Nothobranchius furzeri: one gene and its partner. The main gene of each other region encodes a partner of the protein of the gene in region 2 in a complex. Links are inferred from orthologs where the notes say so. Each region holds a gene or a part of one and is shown on either strand. Other genes may lie near its edges.

Region 1 (10,437 bases), on a different chromosome or scaffold from region 2:
ACCTCAAACTGGGTTCAGGCTCTGAGAGCAGAGGGAGAGCTGCTGGGTCCCAGAGGATTCAGAGAGGGAACATATTGTGGGATTAGAGTGAGATTGGGTCGAGAGGACGAGAAAAGCCGTGGAACGATGACAAATACTTCTCTTTATGGTGCAGATTTTAAAATCACTAATCCTGATCTGTCTTCTGTTTTCCAGACTAACAAGGCTTCGGCTCAGGGAGATTTTCAGGGGGCCAACGCAGCCTCTCGCCAGGCTCTGTGGCTCTCTGTGCTCTCCATCATGTTCGGAATCATCACCTACATCTGCGCCATTGCCGCCTTGATCTCATACCTGTCTGCAAAACCTCCATAAGTCCAGCTCCTCCCACACAAACGGGATCATCCGCACATAAAACATCTGTAAAATATTCCCAGTCAGACTCCATTGTTCATGGTCAGCTGAGAGGAAGACAGAAGCTTCCAGTCGCTTCACTCTGAGCTGCAGCAGCCGTTCTTTATAAGGAAAACAGAAAATGTGTTAGTTTTCTCCATCCTGCCGGAAGCAGAGACCTAAACAATATGGTGGAGATGAGGTCCTCCATAGATCCCAGATTTCCTGCAAAAATCCCAGAAAACTCATAGATCCCAAAAATCCTGCAGTGATCCCAAAAACCTTCCAGAGATTCAAGAACCCCTGCAGTTCCCAGGATTTCTCCAGAGATCCCAGAACTCCTTCAGATGTCCCAGAAATTCTCTAGAGATCCTAGAACTCCTCCAGAGATCCCAGAAATCCTGCAAAGATTCCAGATCTTCTGTAGAAATCCTAGAAATCTTTGAAAGAGGCCAGAAATCCTGCAAAGATCCCAGAGCTCCTGAAGAGTTCCCAGGAATCCTCCAGAGATCCCAGAACTCCTTCAGATGTCCCAGAAATTCTCTAGAGATCCTAGAACTCCTCCAGAGATCCCAGAAATCCTGCAGATTCCAGATCTTCTGTAGAAATCCTAGAAATCTTTGAGAGAGCCCAGAAATCCTGCAAAGATCCCAGAGCTCCTGAAGAGTTCCCAGGAATACTCAAGAGATCCCAGAACCCCTGCAGAGTTCCCAGGAATCCTCCAGAGATCCCAGAACCCCTGCAGTTCCCAGGAATCCTCCAGAGATCCCAGAACCCCTGCAGAGTTCCCAAGAATCCTCCAGAGATCCCAGAACCCCTGCAGAGTTCCCAGGAATCCTCCAGAGATCCCAGAACCCCTGCAGTGCTCTCAGAAATCATCCAGAAATCTCTGAATTTTTACAGAGTTCCCAGAAATTCTGCAGAGATCCCAAATAAATCCCTGAACTCCTGCAGTTTCCAAATCTCCTCCAGAGATCCCAGAACTCTTCCGTAAGTTTCCTCTCGTCTCACAGCCAGCATCAGCTCATGTCTACCTGCAGAGAGGACTGCCTCTCACGTGTTTTCTTGCCTCCTGTCAGAAGAAAGTGCCATAATATCTAAAATAATTCAGCAATATTTCTAAATAAAAATGTTACTTTTGAGAACATTTAGGTGGTTTTTAGCTGCAGATCTAAAGTGCCAAAATAAGATGTTCAAACGAGTCATTTTCCTTCTGAAGAGATATTTGAAAAGCGAACCTGGTGGCTTCTGTGGAACGAGAACAACCTTCATAAATGCGTAAAACTCAAGGCTGAACTTCAGACGAGCAGAACAACAAGGCAAAACAGCAGAAACACAAAAGATGGATAAAAGAAGCGATCGAGGTAAGGAGACGTGGATGCGGGACCATGAACAGGGACGATGGGGTTTACTCGTTGGGACTGCATCGTCGCAGAGGGGAGAGCGGGCAGCAGAGGGCGACAACGTCCTCTGCTGCCCGCGGATAAACGACGTAGGAAGTGACGCCACCATCGGCGTCAGCTCTGACAAAGTTTGCAGCCGCAAACGAAACGCTGCAGGTAAATAAAACCTTTCTGTTTTTAAAAGAACGGAAAGATGGAACGTTTTAGTAAGGATGCTACGCAACGTTTGATCAACGAGACCCCCGGTCCAGAAAAGAGAACCCAGTTCTGTTTTCATAGCCGACTACAAATAACTGGCTTTGTCATACGAAGGCGGAGGACATCTTGTTCTCGTCAGATGATTCAGCTCCACTGTGCCTGCACGTCTTCAACATCCTACAGAAACAAACCTTGTTGCGTCGTGGGACAAATAAAAGATTCCTGTCGCTCTGGTTTCCATCCACCCTAACCCGAAGGCGTTTCCATCGAGTCAGTCAGACGGAGGTTCGGTCACTCTCAAGTGTGAATATTTGAATTAAATCAATAAATCCTAATGAATGCACTTAAATGAAAAGATTTTCCTCTCTTTTTATTTGAAAATAATTAATAAAAACTGAATATTTATGCTTTCTATTAAAAGAAGACTTGGAAGGGGGGGGGGGAATCAGAGGTTTTTGGAGTAGCGCCGTCTCACGGAGTCTCTGTAGAACTGGAAGACCTTCTCCGATGCTTTCTGGCTGACGGCTACACATTCCTGCAGCTGTGGACGAACGGAAAGACAAACGACGGAGTCAGAGGAACGAACAGGAAGCCGTAAAGGAATTAGAAACACAAACACACACAGCCCGCTTCATCGCTCACCTCCTGGACCGAAAATGAACCTTTGGTCGATGACATCATCACTCTTCGTTCTGTGCTGTCGATGGCGAAAGTCATCAACGCTCGACTTTCCTTACGGAAGAAAAAACAAAAGGTCAGCATTAGCCTGCGCTGTTACCATTAGCAACCAGCTGGAGGCCCAGAACTACCAAATGAGCTGTTTGAGTCACACTAAACACTTTGTGTATTTCCTAAAATATCTTAAAGAGCAAGTCAACCCCTACCAGAATCTAACTCCACTCCCACTTCATGTTTGAAAAATGCAACAAATGCTGTTGCCTGGCAGACCAAGGGGGCGGAGCTGCTAACAAATACACACACACAGACATTGTGACATCATAATCTACCAGTTTACATCATAGCATACCTCTTAGCCAATAGTGGTGGAAGATTTAAATTAGAATACAATGCAGAGTTTTTACCTGACAACGGCACAACACTGCCAGTTTTAGGCAGAATATTTAAATTTTAACTAAGATGCACTGAAGTGACAAATTATTGACGGCACGTGTCTGCAGCACGATTAGACACTCGTTTCTTTAGTTTATCAGCAAAAAAAAAGGTTATTTGGGGTGACTTGCTCTTTAAAGAGCAAGTCACCCCCAAATCAGCTTGTTTTTCTGATAAACTATATAAACGCGTGTCTAATCGTGCTGCAGACACGTGTCATCAACAGTTTTGCACTTTTATGCATTTTAGTAAAAATTGAAATATTCTGTCTAAAACTGTCAGTGTTGTGCCGTTGTCAGGTAAAAACTCTGCACTGCAGTTGAATTTAAATCTGCCGTCGCTATTGGCTAAGAGGTACCCTGGAACGTTAGCTGGTACCATATGATGTCACAATGTCGTTGTGAGCCTGTGTGTGTGTATGTTTTGTATGGTAGGGGGTGACTTGCTCTTTAACTTGTTTGTGATTTATCCTCGTTATTGTTGCTTGGATGCTCTCTTTTCGGTCTCCAGTCGGTCACAACGTGCCTTCTCAGGTCTTTTCTCAGGTTCCTCCCAAAGTTGTCTCACATTTCAAACAGAAACTAAACAGAATCCTTCCAGGACACCCACAAAGACCCAGAGACCCAGGTGCGAAGCCCTGCGACTCAGGAGGAAGCTAAGAACCTCTCGCAAACATTTTGAGATATTTTGGAAACTCCCTGGGAAATGTAGTCGTGGCCCAGAGAGAAACTCTGCAGGTGAAGTAAGTAAAGGTCAGCACCCACAGGTTTTTAACCACGGATGGATGTGTGGTCTGCTGAAATGATGTCGACTGCACCGGGGTCGTCTGTGCCGAATTCCTGGGAGCTGTTTTTCTACAGGCTCGTCTTCATCAGAGCTTCGCATCAATTAAAACCTGAAAAGAACTAAAGGAGTCTCAGTATTTGCTTCAAATTCCTTTCAGATTTACTTTCTCCTGAGCTGCTGTGGGATCTGCGATGATGTCACCGTCCGCACCGATGGCGCACGTCACTCCACAGAAAAGACAGCTCATGGACAAGCCTGCATCCATCAGAGCCATGCAGGCCGCATTCAGGCAGCAGGACAGGAGCTGAGGAGCAGGTCAAGGAAGAAGAAAGGCTCCGCCCCAGTGGCTCCGGGGAGTTTTAGTAAAGGATACCGAGCCGTCGTCATGCAGCACCTGAAGGATGAGGGTCAGCGAGGAGCGAGGATGAAGAGACAAGAGAAGAGCTGCCTCACACGTTTCTCTCACACACTGCTCCTGTGACTGCTCCCTCACACCTAGAAAATTCAAAACGGGAGAATCAGCAGAGATAAGAAGAGAGACAAGCAGCTCACTGCCTCCCCCTTGTGGTGTGCCACGGTAAAACACGTTTCATGATGTAAAGTTGCTATGGCGTTAGGGTTATAATTACGTTACTGAGAAGAGATTAAATACTTTAAACAGCAGAGGTTTTTGTACTTGTGTGTGTTAAAGACGCTCAACTAAATATGTTTTAGAAACTCTTCTGGGGCTTTGTTATAAAGATTAAAGCCCCATCATCATCATCATCATCACCACTCTGGTGAAATTCGTTCTCTGCATTCGACCCATCCCTGAGGGAGCAGTGAGCTGCACACACGTCTGCGCCCGGCAACTATTTGGTCGTTTAAAAGAGCAAGTCACCCCCAAATCAGCTTTTTTTCCTGATAAACTATAGAAATGCGTGTCTAATCGTGCTGCAGACACGTGTTGTCAATAGTTTTGCACTTTAGTGCATTTTAGTTAAAATTTTAATTTTCTGCCTAAAACTGTCAGTGTTGCGCCGTTGTCAGGTAAAAACTCTGCACTGCATTTGAATTTAAATCTGCCATCGCTATTGGCTAAGAGGTACCCTAGAACGTTAGCTGGTACCATATGATGTCACAATGTCGTTGTGAGCCTGTGTGTGTGTGTATTTGTTAGTGGCTCCACCCTCTCGGTCTGCTAGGCAACAGCATTTGTTGCATTGTTCAAACAGGAAGTGGGAGTGGAGTAAGACTCTGGTAGGGGGTGACTTGCTCTTTAATCACACGAAACAACCTCTTAATGCTGAGTGTTAAGCAGGGAGGCATCGGGTCACATTTTTAAAGTCTTTGGTACGACCCGACCGTGGATTTGACCCCTGATCGCCCAGTCCCAGGGCAGAAACTCTACCGTTAGCTGGTAGGAGGAAAATGCTATAAAAGTGCTAAATGTTTTAGGCAACTCTCCTTACATCTAGGTCTGAAACGATTCCTCGAGTACCTCGAAAAATTCGTGTACAATTCTCAAACTCTCTGCCTCGAGGCTTCGTTTAATTCATGTTTAATTAATTCATGGCTTAGCAATCGCCCGTGGTCACGTTTCACCCGGACTGAAATAAGTGACGCACATACACACAGCACTGAACGCACACGCGAGAAGCGAATGTAACCTAACTTTCTCTTAAGCCATGGCGGACGACGTGGACCCCGGTGGAGTGTGAAAAAGACACAAAATATCAAAGGTGAGGGAGCATTTTTCACGTGGTCAGGCGGGAAACGTAGTCCAGAGTAAATACTGTAAAATGGATGTAGCCCACCACAACACCACATCCTCCATGCTGCAGCACCTGACCAGGAAACATCCATATGTAAATGTCACTTCTGCAAGCGGTCTCGGAGGTCCACTTTGCGACTTTTTCGTTTGTAGCGCTCAGTTTCAGCTCACACTGTCGTCTGGTAGCAACACGTCGGATCTAAAAATGTGCTAAAAATAGCAGTTTTTACACGTCAGACTTTTCATTGTGTTGTTATTGACTTCTGTTGTCCCTCGGGGTCGCTGCAGGAGGACACGGGTGTTTATGAGGAAAACGAAAGAAAGTAAATAAATGTTTTGTGATCAGTATAATTTGACAAAACCACGGCAAACATGCTTTCTCGACAATCCTCGTTAGTGTTAGACAAAAAGTGCAGAAATTAAAACGGACGTGTGTTCATAGGGAAACAGCTGGCGAGATGTTTGCGCATGCGCCGTGAGCGGTTCTGGTTCTGTTTGGGCCGCAGCCGCTCGCTGTGCTACTTCAACAGTTATCCTCCTAGTTTTTGTCTGGCTTGCAGGCTGGTAGATCCACACGAGGAGAAAACCGGCTCAGGTTGTTTACTTATTTTTTGCACAGGCGTTTGTTTACTGTGAAGTAAAGTTGAAGTTTTGAAAACTAATTTTGAATAAAACTTGAAGAATAACTGGCAATTGCGTGCTAATTTTAGGAGCTCTTTCATATTTTATAACATGCTATTTGATATAATGGTTTACAAACACAAAAGGGTCATTTATTAGAGTACTCGATTACAAAAATATTTGATAGCCGCAGCTCTAGTTCTGGCCTTAATAATGAAGCATTTTAAATGATGCACCTGAGCTGTAACTATGGTAACGCAAGATTCCATAGCTTTACCATAGTGACAGTCTATCATAGGTGACAGACAGCGCTCCATAGGGAGTCTAAGCCACGCCCATCTACTTCCGGACCACGGGTCCCCAGAAGAACAAAACAATGAATGCAAGTCAGCGGGGCTAAAGACACTATTTTCTAATTCTGCTTGTTATGTGCCATGGATTTCACACATGATTAGGTCTGAAACGATTCCTCGAGTACCTCGAATAATTCGTGTACAATTCTCAAACTCTCTGCCTCGAGACTTCATTTAATTCATGTTTAATTAATTCATGGCTTAGCAATCGCCCGTGGTCACGTTTCACCCGGACTGAAATAAGTGACGCACATACACACAGCACTGAACGCACACGCGAGTAGCGAATGTAACCTAACTTTCTCTTAAGCCATGGCGGACGACGTGGACCCCGGTGGAGTGTGAAAAAGACACAAAATATCAAAGGTGAGGGAGCATTTTTCACGTGGTCAGGCGGGAAACGTAGTCCAGAGTAAATACTGTAAAATGGATGTAGCCGACCACAACACCACATCCTCCATGCTGCAGCACCTGACCAGGAAACATCCATATGTAAATGTCACTTCTGCAAGCGGACTCGGAGGTCCGCTTTGCGACTTTTTCGTTTGTAGCGCTCAGTTTCAGCTCACACTGTCGTCTGGTAGCAACACGTCGGATCTAAAAATGTGCTAAAAATAGCAGTTTTTACACGTCAGACTTTTTATTGTGTTGTTATTGACGTCTGTTGTCCCTCGGGGTCGCTGCAGGAGGACACGGGTGTTTATGAGGAAAACAAAAGAAAGTAAATAAATGTTTTGTGATCAGTATAATTTGACAAAACCACGGCAAACATGCTTTCTCGACAATCCTCGTTAGTGTTAGACAAAAAGTGTAGAAATTAAAACGGACGTGTGTTCATAGGGAAACAGCTGGCGAGCCATGTTTGTGCATGCGCCGTGAGCGGTTCTGGTGCCGTTTGGGCCGCAGCCGCTCGCTGTGCTACTTCAACAGTTATCCTCCTAGTTTTTGTCTGGCTTGCAGGCTGGTAGATCCACACACGAGGGGAAAATCTTGTTTATAATAATAATAATAGTTTATAAACACAAAAGGGTAATTTATTAGAGTACTCGATTAATCGATAAAAGATTCGATAGAGTACTCGATTACAAAAATATTCAATAGCTGCAAAAGTTTTAAAGGTAAAAGTGCACGAAGGTCATCAAGTGTAGAGCAAAATGTACCTGTTAGGAGTGGGATTTATTACGTTTATGTTTTAGATGAAACAGGAGATGACACCAGTTTTTTTTTGTAAAAACCCTCATAAAAGGAAACGACTGAGTACATCACGTTTCTGCTTTGATAAAATGACTTGGTGTTGTATTTGATGTGAGGATTCTGCAAACAGCAACAGCCCAAAATGTGTCTGAAACCCGGCGTTCACCTTTTGTTTGGTGACACACCTGTTCCTGTTGACATTTTGGCTCATATCTAATATTTAAAAGTGTTTGGTTTAAGAAAACAAAACAAAAATGACAATAATTCATTTGTTTTCCATTCTGGAAAATAAACTACCTGCTGGTCCCACTTTAGGCTGAAGCAACACCTCCAGAGTGGCCCGATCATAGATTTCTTTACTGACTTTGACCTCAGCAGGCCCGTAAACGCCGGCCATCACACTCGTATCCCCTTTGAAAACAAACAAACAAGGTAAACGGTTATTAGTATATTTCTAATTTTACAGAAGCATTCATTTCATTCCAGAACTGCGCTGCTCTGGGTGGCTGCATGTTGGAGTAGCTCTGTTGACTATATGGAAGTTTTGCCTTTTTTGGACATTTTTTCTTCTAGTTTCTCAAGAAAAACTGTATTTTTTGACATTTTACTTTTCTGTTTCTGGTGCTGTGAAGATTGGAGGATTTTTTCTGCAATTTTTTCACTTTTTTAGCATTTGTTATGATGTGTAACCATGGCAACAAGCTGGTTTACAATCGGGAGCAGCTGATTAACATTGGAAAGGCTGAAATAACACCTCGACTGAAGCCACAAATCCCAAATGAGCTAAAACAAAAGAAGCGTGGGTGCAGAGCGGGAGCGGGACGGAGACGGAGAAAGAGGAAATTCAAACCATCTCTTCCATCGATCATAATGGGCGATGTGAGATCACTGGCCAACAAGATGGAGGAACTCCAAGCCCTTTCGAGGACTCAGCCAGAGTTTCGGCATTTTCGGAACCGCTGGAGGAGATAAAGCAAAGAAGGATTCTCCAGAGAATCAAGAAAATGATGGACAACCCTGAGCATTCTCTTCACAAGACTGTCCGACAACGGAAGAGTGTCTTCAGTCAGAGGCTTCTTCAGTTTGGCTGCAACACTGACCGCTACTGGAGATCCTTCCTGCCAACAGCCGTTGTAATATACAACACCTCTTTGATGACTTGATTATTATTATTATTCTGAGCTACTACAGCAATCAGTTTCCCTCTGGGATTAATAAAGTATTTTTGAACTGAACTGAGTGAAGTAAGAAACACCTAGAAGGTAAACAAAACACCAATCTGTGAAACGCCTGAACAACACTGGTTGATTTATTTTCAACGTAAAAAAAGAAGCTTTGTGACAATTTTCAAACATAAAAAGGAAAACTTCAACCAAAGGTGTAAAGGCCACGGGTTTAAGTCGAGGGAAACGCGTTTAAACACGCGACACCAAACCTCATATTTACACATTCACTTCCTTTCTTCTGCTTTTAAGATGCTTTTCGGCGAACAGCGCTCCTCTGCGACTCGCGCAGCCTGTTTGAGTCTGAATAAAAGACCAAATCACGGACATAAATGATGATTGTTACCCTGGACGAACGACGCCGAGCCGTCCGGTCTGGACAGCAGATTCTGTTCACAGCCGAACTCTCTGAGAGAAACATTATTAGAAGCAGAAACCTCCATCATGCCGCCTTCTTCGAGAATATGTTTGTCGCAGGGGAATTACGTCATCGGTTCTTTCAAAGTTAAACCGGAGACATCGATTTGACACTTCTTACAAAAACGTATTACATAGGTGTCTTGCGTTTTAATTTTTTATGATCATAAGTAACATTTTTCAACAATAATCTTTTTTATATATGCTTCTGATCGTTTATTTAGTCATTATTTATTTTGAAAGTACAAAACGGAAAGCGCTATCCATCGAGTTGTCAGTTAACCACTAGGGGGCGACAAAACCCCATTCTTTCATTTGTAAACACCATTTTAGAATGCTGCGTGAATAACCAGAAGCTGTGTTCGTCATTACTGGTTTCGTGTTTAACTTGATGCTGTCTTTGTGAAGCAAGTTGTAGTTTTTTGTTAAAGCAACTACTTTATTCATTTTACTTCTATTTGCCTTCAAATTTTGATCTTCTGAGAAAACTGACAGGTGCTCCGCAAGTGGACACCCGTTTTTGTTGCTTTATGTTTACAATTTAGGTAAAATTTTCAATAGCAAAAAATGCTTCTTCGTTTTTCTATTTTTTATTTATTTTGTTTTTGGTAATTGGTTTAAATATTTTAAATACATACTTGAAAGCATAAATGTTTCACAGAATATGTTTGCTGTGCTATGAAAACCTGTTTCAGACCTTCTGGGCCTAAGTAGGCTGTATAATCTAGTATTATCATAGTTGACTGGGTGCTTTGGAGGACCCACAGCACCCAAGTGGAGCTCGCTGCAGAACCACAAAGGCAGAGGATTAACTTGTTTCATATTTTATGACTTTACTATTTTGTTTTTAATGTAAGTCTGATAAAGATCATTGTGATGTTATTACTTAGTTTTGATCTGTGTGAAGCACTTTGTGATTTTGTCTGTGATGAGTGGTATATAAATTTCACTTACTTTATATGTATCATGTGTTAAATATAATAAATCCTAAATACTAACTACATAGAAGT
Region 2 (10,971 bases):
CCGACATTATAGAATAAAACTTATATGGTGAATTTATCAAGCTAAAGAAATCTCACTTTCTTTGTATAACAGCACAATAAGTTTAACTGGAAGCTAAATAACATTGAAAAGTAAAAGCAGGTTAGAATGGCTAGAAACAGTAAAGACATGTCAAGGTTTTGAATTACAGATGTATTAAAATTTTTACCTCCGCTGCTAGCCTCCGACTTGTTAGACATGTTCACAGAACTTTAAATTTCCGATTCTAACACCGAACCCGAACAAGAAGAGAACCAACTCACGTCTGGCCCCGCCCCTAGGATGTGATTGGCTCAATACAAATATCAATACACGATTGGTCCTGGGAACTGTCAGTCAAAAAGCAAGGCGGAAGGAAACGTTAAGTTCTTATTTTGACATTCCTTATACCAAAAGACGTAAAAGTTGAATGAATCTTTTCAAGTTTCGTAAAGTTCACTTGTTTATAAACAGGAAGAGGGGTTACAAAATGTGAACAAAGAAAACAAATCAAAGGAAATTACAGCATTATGTTACAGAAAAACCATGAAAACTACAGTCAAAAATATAATAAAAAAAAAGACCTTTTTAGCTTCTCTGTTTCTGTTATGCATTACATCTGCCATAATTAGCTAAGGCAGAATTGGTAGAAAGAGCTGAATGAGGAGAAGGTAGTGATGAAGAATCAACCAAAGATCACACCAAAGCCAGCCTGAATAGGTGAGTGTTCTGCTTCTTTTTAAAGGAGAGCTCTGAGTCCACTGATCTCAGGCTCAGGGGGAGAGAGTTCCAGATTCTGGGGGCCAGCCTTTGACCTTTAGCCTGGTGTGCTGAACAACCAGTGGTATTTGGACCTCAGTTGGTCAATGGACCTCAGGGACCTGCTGGGGGTGTGAGGACTGAGAAGATCCCTAAAAACCAGAACCAGGATCTTGAAATTAACCCTGAAGTTGACTGGCAGCCAGTGAAGCTGGAGGAGAAGTGGGGTGATGTGGGTGTGTTTTGAGTATTTGGTCAAAAGCTGAGCACACACAGTTGCGTTTCAACTAACCACGGTAAGCAAAAACTACTTCAAAAAACTGATGACTACATTCCTTCTATTTAACAAAACCTGTCATCAGATCTCATCACGGCCGGTTAGCTCAGTTGGTTAGAGCGTGGTGCTAATAACGCCAAGGTCGCGGGTTCGATCCCCGTACGGGCCACTTAGTTATTTTTACTCTGTCCAAATCCGTCATTATTTTAACCATAAATGATCTGCACTTATGTGACGCCAGAGGACTCCACAACGCATTTCACTAGGCAAGGCAGCTTTATTTATATTGCACATTTCATACACAGAGGCAATTCAATGTGCTACTGGCATTCATTTAACGAAAGATATCTGTTGTGTCTGCAAACCTAAACAGAAACAAATTAACAGTATGTCTCTGCTGCTTTTCAATAGGAAGGAGTTCGCCCGACGATGCCAGTATGGTTCCATGGTGTAATGGTTAGCACTCTGGACTCTGAATCCAGCGATCCGAGTTCAAATCTCGGTGGAACCTGATTATTTTTAACGTAAATTGGTTTGTTTTTTTTATCACTCCACCATCACATCTACACGGTGAATTTTTGTCTAAGCGTGAATCTCGTGTGTTATCGTGAACCTGACTCATGACTTATTTAAGTTTCTTATGAGTGACATATGATGGACAAACTTTTGATTCGCGCAACAATGATTCTAGAAATGTAAAAAATAAATTTATTTGAATCAGTTTTAAGCCTTTTTCGATATCATATTATTGTAGTATTTTCTCTGTTTCGGTTTCAAGCTGCGGTCATTTCTTCTGGCGTTTCTTGGATGCTGCTGCCCCCTTCTGGTCAGATCTGGACCCAGAATTCCTGAAGAAGAAAAAAATCAGAAACCGGTGAGATTAGTTTAATTTATCAACCTCCTCGGCTTCATATCAAACAAATAGATGTTACTTTGATTTCTCTGTCGTCTCTGGATAAAGTATGACCACCTCCTCTTCCTCACTGTCTGAAATCTCCACCACAGCTGCTGTAAGACAAAACACATTAAAGTTCAATTATAATTTTTTTTCTTCTTCCATGACTTTTAGTTATGAAAACAAATAACCTTCTTTCTTGTCTTTTTCTGACAGTTTTATCTGTGTCACTTCTTCCACTTGGTCATCTCCACTGCTCTCCTCCTCCTCATCATCATCATCTTCTTCTTCCTCCTCCAGTCCCCAGCTCTGCAGACCCTGACCCACCTGACCAACACCTGGCACCGGCACCACTGGGGATGGGACTCTGGTATGGGTGTGTGGTTAGGGAGACTAACTGTCAGAAACAAAAACAAATGCCGTTCCTTTTTTGTCCTTTCATTTCAGTTCAGGATACGTTGGGGGCGGGGCTTCATCTCCCTGGAGGATCACCCCACTTCCTGTTTGGCTCACGTTGGTCATCTCTACATCGGTCTGGTCCATTTTCAGAGCTGTGATCCGATCCTGAGGCATGGACTCGGCAAAGCCACATTTACCACCTGCCTTCCTGGAACGTTTCAAACACATCATTCAAATGTAGCCTCTAAAGGGAATTGTGGGTAATGTAGTAATAAATAGGAGACAGCCACTCACCTGGCAGCCTTGTCATTTAACAAGGCTTGACTGATGAGTTCAGTGATTTCAGACACTTTGACGCTGGCTATTTTACTGCATCTCATAACCTACAACAACACAGAGCAAAAACATGCTGATGGATTCAACTAGGAATTAAATTATTAAACAAAGTCTTTTTTCAAAGAATTCCTTCTAAATATACTTCAGACTGACACGTGGGAGTCACAAGAAGAAGAAGAAGAAGAAAATATCATTTCTATAGCACCTCTCAAGATAAAAATCACAAGGCGCTTCACAAAAACAAAAATGTTAAAATATAAAAAACAATTTAGAAAATGGTTAAAAATATATTTAAAATGAGCAAAAAATAGACAATTGTGATCAAAAAAATGTTAAGAAAGAGAGAGTGAATAGGAAAGAGGGAAATCAGTGGATCCTGAGGAAGGTGGAATAGGTGGGGAGAGCAGAATAAAGAGAGAGAGGTGAAGAAGGTCATACAAAAGCCAGCTTGAACAAGTGAGTCTTCAGCTGCTTTTTAAAGGAGACCACTGAGTCCACTGATCTCAGGCTCAGGGTGAGAGAGGTCCAGAGTCTGGGGGCGACAGCAGCAGATGATCTGTCACCTTTGGTCTTTGGCCTGGTGCTGCACAACCAGTAGGCTTTGATCACTGGACCTCAGGGACCTGCTGGGGGTGTAGGGACTAAGAAGATCACCAATGTAAGATGGTGCTTGTCCATGTAAGGCCCTATAGACCAGAACCAGGATCTTGAAATGAACCCTGAAGTTGACTGGCAGCCAGTGAAGCTGGAGGAGAAGCGGGGTGATGTGGGTGTGTTTGGAGGACTTGGTCAGAAGCCGAGCACAGGCGTTCTGAACCACCTGTAGACGGTTCAGGGAGGTTCTGCTCAGACACGTGAAAAGAGAGTTACAGTAGTCTAAGCGTGAGGAGATGAAGGAGTGGAGAACCGTCTCAAGTTCAGAGCGGGACAGAATGGGACTCAGCTTAGCAACGTTCCTGAGATGGAAGAAGGAAGAGCCAACAAGAGAACTGACATGAGAATCCAGGGTGAGAGCTGGGTCAAAGGTCACGCCAAGATTCCTGACGGAGGGTTTGGTGTGGGAAGCAAGCTGACCAAGAGAGTCTCTGACTTTGGGAACCAGCTTGTCTGGGGCACAGATGAGGATCTCAGTCTTATCTTCATTCAGCTGAAGAAAGCTCCCACCATCCAGGTTTTGATAGAGTCTAAGCAGGTGTGTAACAGCTGCAGCTTAGACATCTCATGGGGCTTAAAGGAGATGTACAGTTGGATGTCATCTGTGTAAAGATGGTAGGAGATTCCTTTGAAGGAGCTCAGGATGTGCTGAAGAGGAAGCAGACAGAGGAGGAAGAGCAGAGGCCCCAGCACAGAACCTTGTGGGACACCATGGGTAAGGGAGGTGGTGGAGGACCTAAACTTGGAGACTGCCACAGAAAAGGAGCCCTCAGAGAGATAAGAGGAGAACCACTCCAGAGCAGATCCTGATAGGCCTACCCAGTCTCTCAGCCTCTCCAGTAGCAGGTGATGGTCAACAGTGTCAAAGGCTGCAGTCAGGTCCAGCAGGACCAGAACCAGAACCCTGCATCACTGTGAGTCAGAAGGTCATTAGAGACCCTAAGAAGAGCGGTTTCAGTAGAATGAACTCTACGAAAACCTGACTGGAAGCTATCATAGATGTTCTGTTCATCAAGAGCAGCTGTGAGTTGTTTAGCCACAACCTTTTCCAAGATCTTGGAGATGAACGGAAGTTTAGAGATGGGTCTGAAGCTGCTATGGAGAGAGGGGTCGAGACTCGGTGTTTTAAGAAGCGGGTGGATTACAGCGTTCTTAAAGTAGGCAGGGACCTGACCAGAGACCAGAGAAGCATTAGTTATAGAGAGCATGCTGGGACCGATCGAGGGGGCATGCAGAGGTCTTCATAGAGTTAACTAGTTTGGTTAACTCAGGCAAAGAAACAGGAGCAAAGCTATCTAGGATGATGGGCCTGGTTGGAGTCGGGAGAGGCGGTGATAAGGCTGAAGGAGAGATGCTAGATCTATCCTTACTGACTTTGTCCACAAAGAAAGACAGAAAGTTCTCACAGTCTGCAACAGAGTGGATGGAGGCTGTAGGAGAGGCAGGAGAGACGATGCTGCTGATGGTGTTAAACAGCACCTTGGGGTTCCCTTTGCTCTGGGACACCAGGTTGGAGAAACAGGAAACCGTAGCATCTCTGACTGCAGAGTTAAAGGATGTCAGAAGATCCTTTAGGTGCAGCAGATGGACGTGGAGATGGGTTTTCTTCCATAAGTGCTCAATTTTTCTTCATTGGCGCTTTAGGCTGCGAAGGCTGTCATTAAACCAGGGAGTAGGGTTCACTGCAGGAACTGATCTGGTTCTGACAGGACAGATGTTGTCCAGAATGGAGAGGCAGTGCTCGTTAAACTGAGAAGTTAAGGAAACTAGGGGCCGAAATGATAGAAAAACTGTTATTCTAGAACTTTTCAGAACGAGGGTCAAAATCATCACATTGTTGGTCCTTGTGGCTCACAAAAATTTGTTTTTTTTTCTGTTTGAAAAATGTAAAAGTTATTTTTATGGTGATTTAGTTTTATTTGTACTCCTCCAAATAGTGTCAAATTAAGAATTTTAGTAAAATTGTGAACACAAAATGTCAGACAGAATCAATCTACGTGAACAGCCAACCAGAGAAACTAAAGTCATTATTTGAGAAATGCAATTTGGGGACCACAAAAATTCATTGTGAAGGCTGCAAATGGCCCACAGGCCACAATTTGAACATCCCGGTTCTAGAATGTGCTGACCTGGTCTTTGAGCAGCATGATGCCCCCGCTGGACTGGATGGAGCAGATCTCTCTGTGTTTGTTCATAGCGATCATCAACAAGCCGTCCATTACTCGCTCCTCGCGCTCACATGGGTCCACCAGCAGAAATGTTCTACAGGGACAAGAATGTGCTCGTGTTGTTGTTGTGTATTGTTGTTCTAGATCAGTAAACGTTGCATTGTTTTACCCCTGTTGAAAGAAGGCAAAGCTGACACTGATGGGCATGTGGTAGACGCTCAGAGGGATCGGGTCTCTCTCCTCTGGACTGAACTGAGGAGATTAAGATGTCTGAGTAAGAGAAAGCCGAGTTTAAAGTAGCTCCTCTGCGGAGTTGTGCTTCCTGCTGGCTCACCACCGTCACTTCTTCTCCCTGGATCGCTACGTCAGGACGCCTGAAGTGGCACAGAGCCGTGATGGCGGCTACGCTGGCGGCATCCATCAGGTTTCCATCGTTGTTCAGGGTGTGAACATCCACTCTGACCTGCCACACCTGATCACAGAGACAGCAGCACCACCACCACTATCATCATCATCATCATCATCATCATCATCTTCCATCAGCAAGAACATTTTGCATCTCTCTCTCTCTCTCTCTCTCTCTCTCTCTCTCTCTCTCTCTCTCTCTCTCTCTCTCTCTCTCTCTCTCTCTCTCTCTCTCTCTCTCTCTCTCTCTCTCTCTCTCTCTCTCTCTCTCTCTCTCTCTCTCTCTCTCTCTCTCTCTCTCTCTCTCTCTCTCTCTCTCTCTCTCTCTCTCTCTCTCTCTCTCTCTCTCTCTCTCTCTCTCTCTCTCTCTCTCTCTCTCTCTCTCTCTCTCTCTCTCTCTCTCTCTCTCTCTCTCTCTCTCTCTCTCTCTCTCTCTCTCTATATATATATATATACACACACACGTCATAAATATTAAATAACACATGAGTGTTTTCCTAATAACTGCAGATTTCCTCTAATGCTTTTATACTGAAGTCGAGTCATTTCTGCAGCAGTGAGCCAGAAGAGTCTCTGGGGACTTTTGCATCTTAGGTGAAAACCTGTTTAGGATTAAAGCGTCTGCTGAATGACTAAACATGAACAATGACGTGAGGAAAAGCTCAAAAACAGCTTGGTAATCTGCCAGGAGGTGGTGTGTGTTTGTGTATCCTGGCTTTCTGTCACCTTCTCTCCAGACACCACACACAGCGACTCAGTATCGATGCACTTGGAGTTCCTCAGGCACCTCTCCAGCTGTCTGTTCAGCTTCACCGACAGCTCCGACTGTCTGCAGGGACACAAATCCCACGGATGATTTTCTGCTCCAGCAGGCCGGCTCCACATTACAGCGTGTAATGAATCAGCGTCGTTAAACAGGAGGGGATGAAAACAAACACACAAGTCGTCCTCACCGGCCCTGCTCGAACGATGGCGAGGCCATGGGTGACAGCTCGATGTTGAAGAACAGGATTCCCTCAGTGGGCCGGTTCTCTTTAGGCGCCACCAACTCACACGACACCTGAGCCATGACCCTGAGAAGAGGTCAGAAACAGTTTACTCCTCGTGGACATGCTTGTCGTGTAAATCTGCCCTTATTGGATTCATCCGTCACCCTCAGGAGAAAGGAAACTGCTTTTAATGTTCAGGGACAACCCAGAAACCACCAAGTCTCAACATCAACGTGAGCGGGGCTCTTGCTCCAAACTGAAACCTTTGCTTCCCACACGGGTGCGCCGGATCACTGTGAGGATTTCAGACTAAAGAACTCTGAAGCAACTGTCGTGCACGGCAGAGGTGGTGTCATGTTGTGGTACTGGTGCACGGAACAAAGAGAAACGGGAGGAGAGATGACTGACGGACAGAGACATTTCCATGCTGCTAACTCTTTTCTCTTGGAGGGACAAACCCTTAAAAGCATCTAAAGGTCACAGACAAGGGTCGATTCTAGATTATATTAAAGTGACAATGTGTAGTTTTTACCATTAATCTCTGGAAATATCCATTGAAATGTTGTAAATGAATTAAAAAGTGCCCAGTTGTTGACAAATAGTGGTTGTTTCATAACATGCAGTGGGGCAAAAAAGTATTTAGTCAGCCACCGATTGTGCAAGTTCTCCCACTTAAAATGATGACAGAGGTCAGTAATTTACATCATAGGTGCACTTCAACTGTGAGAGACAGAATGTGGAAAAAAAATCCATGAATTCACATGGCAGGATTTTTAAAGAATTTATTTGTAAATCAGGGTGGAAAATAAGTATTTGGTCACTTCAGACAAGGAAAATCTCTGGCTCTCACAGACCTGTAACGTCTTCTTTAAGAAGCTTTTCTGTCCTCCACTCATTACCTGTATTAATGGCACCTGTTTGAACTCATTATCTGTATAAAAGACACCTGTCCACAGCCTCAAACAGTCAGACTCCAAACTCCACTATGGCCAAGACCAAAGAGCTTTCGAAGGACACCAGGAAAAGAATTGTAGACCTGCACCAGACTGGGAAGAGTGAATCTACAATAGGCAAGCAGCTTGGTGAGAAAAGATCAATTGTGGGAGCAATTATCAGAAAATGGAAGACATACAAGACCACTGATAATCTCCCTCGATCTGGGGCTCCACGCAAGATCTCATCCCGTGGGGTCAAAATGATCATGAGAACGGTGAGCAAGAATCCCAGAACCACACGGGGGGACCTGGTGAATGACCTGCAGAGGGCTGGGACCACAGTAACAAAGGTCACCATCAGTAACACATTACAACGTCAGGGAATCAAATCCTGCAGTGCCAGACGTGTTCCGCTGCTGAAGCCAGTGCATGTCCAGGCCTGTCTGAAGTTTGCCAGAGAGCACATGGATGATACAGCAGAGGATTGGGAGAATGTCATGTGGTCAGATGAAACCAAAGTAGAACTTTTTGGTATAAACTCAACTCGTCGTGTTTGGAGGAAGAAGAATACTGAGTTGCATCCCAAGAACACCATACCTACTGTGAAGCATGGGGGTGGGAACATCATGCTTGGGGCTGTTTTTCTGCTAAGGGGACAGGACGACTGATCCGTGTTAAGGACAGAATGAATGGGGCCATGTTTCGTGAGATTCTGAGCCAAAACCTCCTTCCATCAGTGAGAGCTTTGAAGATGAAACGTGGCTGGGTCTTCCAACACGACAATGATCACAAACACACCGCCCGGGCAACAAAGGAGTGGCTCCGTAAGAAGCATTTGAAAGTCCTGGAGTGGCCTAGCCAGTCTCCAGACCTCAACCCCATAGAAAATCTGTGGAGGGAGTGGAAAGTCCGTGTTGCTCGGCGACAGCCCCAAAACATCACTGCTCTCGAGAAGATCTGCATGGAGGAATGGGCCAAAATACCAGCTACTGTGTGTGCAAACCTGGTAAAGACCTATAGTAATCGTTTGACCTCTGTTATTGCCAACAAAGGTTATGTTACAAAGTATTGAGTTGAATTTTTGTTATTGACCAAATACTTATTTTCCACCCTGATTTACAAATAAATTCTTTAAAAATCCTTCCATGTGAATTCATGGATTTTTTTTCACATTCTGTCTCTCACAGTTGAAGTGTACCTATGATGTAAATTACTGACCTCTGTCATCATTTTAAGTGGGAGAACTTGCACAATCGGTGGCTGACTAAATACTTTTTTGCCCCACTGTATAGCCATAAAAATTGGGTTTAAAATGCATAGGAGTGGGTCTAAGTCTCTGGGTGACACAATATTGGATGCCATGTTTCCTTTTACGGAAGCCCGTGAGGACAGAATGCATTCACTGATTTGTAACTAATAGTTACAAAACTTTCAGCATTAATAAACGTTGTTCTTTTACATGTTTATCTCTTCACTCATTGCAAGGGATGAAAGGGAATCTGATGTTCTTGTTATTTTGATGAAGGTTGCACTCCCAAGGATTTTTGACCCTAACAGTTCCTCGTGTTGATTTTAGAGACAACATGTTAGTCAGTATTAGAATCATTCAGCAGCTTTCATCACATTACCAAACCCCAGAATCACCTGGTTTGCCCCAGATCCACAAAGCAGCATCCATAATCAGTCCCAAAAGTGATTTTCAACTTTCTGTAGTCATAGGTCTGTCGTCCATCGAGCCGCTAAAAGACACGAACAAAAAACAGTAAACAGAACTTTAGCTAGTTTCTTCAAAAACAATAGTTGGAACTTGGAAAATTAAATGACTTAATTTCGGTTACAACGTTTTTATCTTAAACATTTCTGTGACAATTTTGGTGTGAATTCTCACTTCTAAAGATACAATCATGAATAGAAGCACGGATTTTTTTCAGTTTTTCCATTCAACGTTCTGGATGTGGAGGTTGTTTTCTTAGCTACTTTGATGATAAACGTTTTAAAACGCACCTTTTTCTCTTCGATTGCTCTCAGTAAGAAGTCTCGCTCGCAGTTGGAAAGCGGCGTTTCTTTCATGATTGTTGTTATTTGCTGTTTCTGGTGAAAATCAAATTATTCTCAACTGACATGCGGGAACCACCTATTTACGCAATTCGCGCATGCGCGACGAAACAATATACGGCTTTACCGTATGTCGCAAATGAACCCAAATCTTTTTTTTTTCTTTTTTTTTTAGAGAAGATAACATACAAACAAAATGCACCGTACATTATATATTCAAACGATAATCATTACATGCATATTAAACATTTTCACGTATATGAAAAAAAGAAAATCTAAAGATGGGGTCACATAATTAACAGATTATTAACTTACTAACTCAAAATCTTCTACAAAGGAAATAAACAAATCTGCCTTTTTCTTTTTAACTAAATTCAACGATTTAATTAATAATTTTAAGTCGTTTTTCCAATAGGCTAGTGTTGGTTTGGTCTTAAAAATTGACATTTATGTATAAATTGTTTGCACAAAATTAATAACACATTAACACCATAATTAACTTTCTTTTTTTCAAAAACACTCCAAACATTGTCATATTTAAGGTAAATGGGGCAATTTGAATCCCACTAGAACAAAGCCAGGCATGAAAATCTAACCAAAATATTTGTATAAAGTTGCACAAAAAAAATTGATGGTCTAAGTCCTCCTCTTCTGTTTCACAAAATACACAATTACCAGCTTCTATATTGAATCTATCCCCAAGGAGTCTATTTGTTGGGTAAATGTTATTCAAAATTTTAAATAGGACTTCTTTCCCTTTAGGAGCGATATGTGAACCCAAATCTAAATTTGTTTGTAACCAATCATGTGAACTGATGTGGACTAATCTAATGTGTGTGTTGGTCGTTTATTTTATCCGTATATTCATACATGCGATTTTAACTAGACTGATATTCGTTTAAATGATAGAAGTAAGTACAGTGGGGCAAAACGTGGCTGTAAATGAATATTTTGTTCAGTTTGTTGGCTAAACACATAAAGAAATGACACCAATTTTGGATTTTCTTTCATTTAGTCTATTAAGTGTTGCGCTTCGAGTGTAAGCATGATATAAACAGTTGAAGGGACGAAAAGAAAAGGAGCTTCTACGTGATGCTTTCAC

What was found.
Region 1: exosc9 (region 2) and exosc5 share a complex: the UniProt entries of both Homo sapiens proteins name them as parts of the RNA exosome core complex. The link is inferred for Nothobranchius furzeri from reciprocal best matches to the Homo sapiens genes EXOSC9 and EXOSC5.

Annotation. Positions count from the first base shown.
Region 1 is NC_091753.1:58,576,115-58,586,551, reverse strand, and holds exosc5 (exosome complex component RRP46), read right to left. Parts: upstream 9,517-10,437; 5' UTR 9,457-9,516; coding exon 9,357-9,456; intron 8,757-9,356; exon of another isoform or gene 8,657-8,756; coding exon of another isoform or gene 8,638-8,656; intron 8,199-8,637; coding exon 8,085-8,198; intron 4,362-8,084; coding exon 4,240-4,361; intron 4,171-4,239; coding exon 4,030-4,170; intron 2,703-4,029; coding exon 2,613-2,702; intron 2,512-2,612; coding exon 2,416-2,511; 3' UTR 2,320-2,415; downstream 1-2,319. UniProt on the Homo sapiens protein: Non-catalytic component of the RNA exosome complex which has 3'->5' exoribonuclease activity and participates in a multitude of cellular RNA processing and degradation events.
Region 2 is NC_091746.1:81,903,720-81,914,690, forward strand, and holds exosc9 (exosome complex component RRP45), read right to left. Parts: upstream 9,984-10,971; 5' UTR 9,885-9,983; coding exon 9,819-9,884; intron 9,554-9,818; coding exon 9,459-9,553; intron 6,964-9,458; coding exon 6,844-6,963; intron 6,720-6,843; coding exon 6,617-6,719; intron 5,958-6,616; coding exon 5,820-5,957; intron 5,738-5,819; coding exon 5,655-5,737; intron 5,580-5,654; coding exon 5,447-5,579; intron 2,711-5,446; coding exon 2,622-2,710; intron 2,536-2,621; coding exon 2,386-2,535; intron 2,296-2,385; coding exon 2,120-2,295; intron 2,042-2,119; coding exon 1,966-2,041; intron 1,882-1,965; coding exon 1,818-1,881; 3' UTR 1,719-1,817; downstream 1-1,718. Other genes in the region: caspase-6, read right to left, coding at 188-218. UniProt on the Homo sapiens protein: Non-catalytic component of the RNA exosome complex which has 3'->5' exoribonuclease activity and participates in a multitude of cellular RNA processing and degradation events.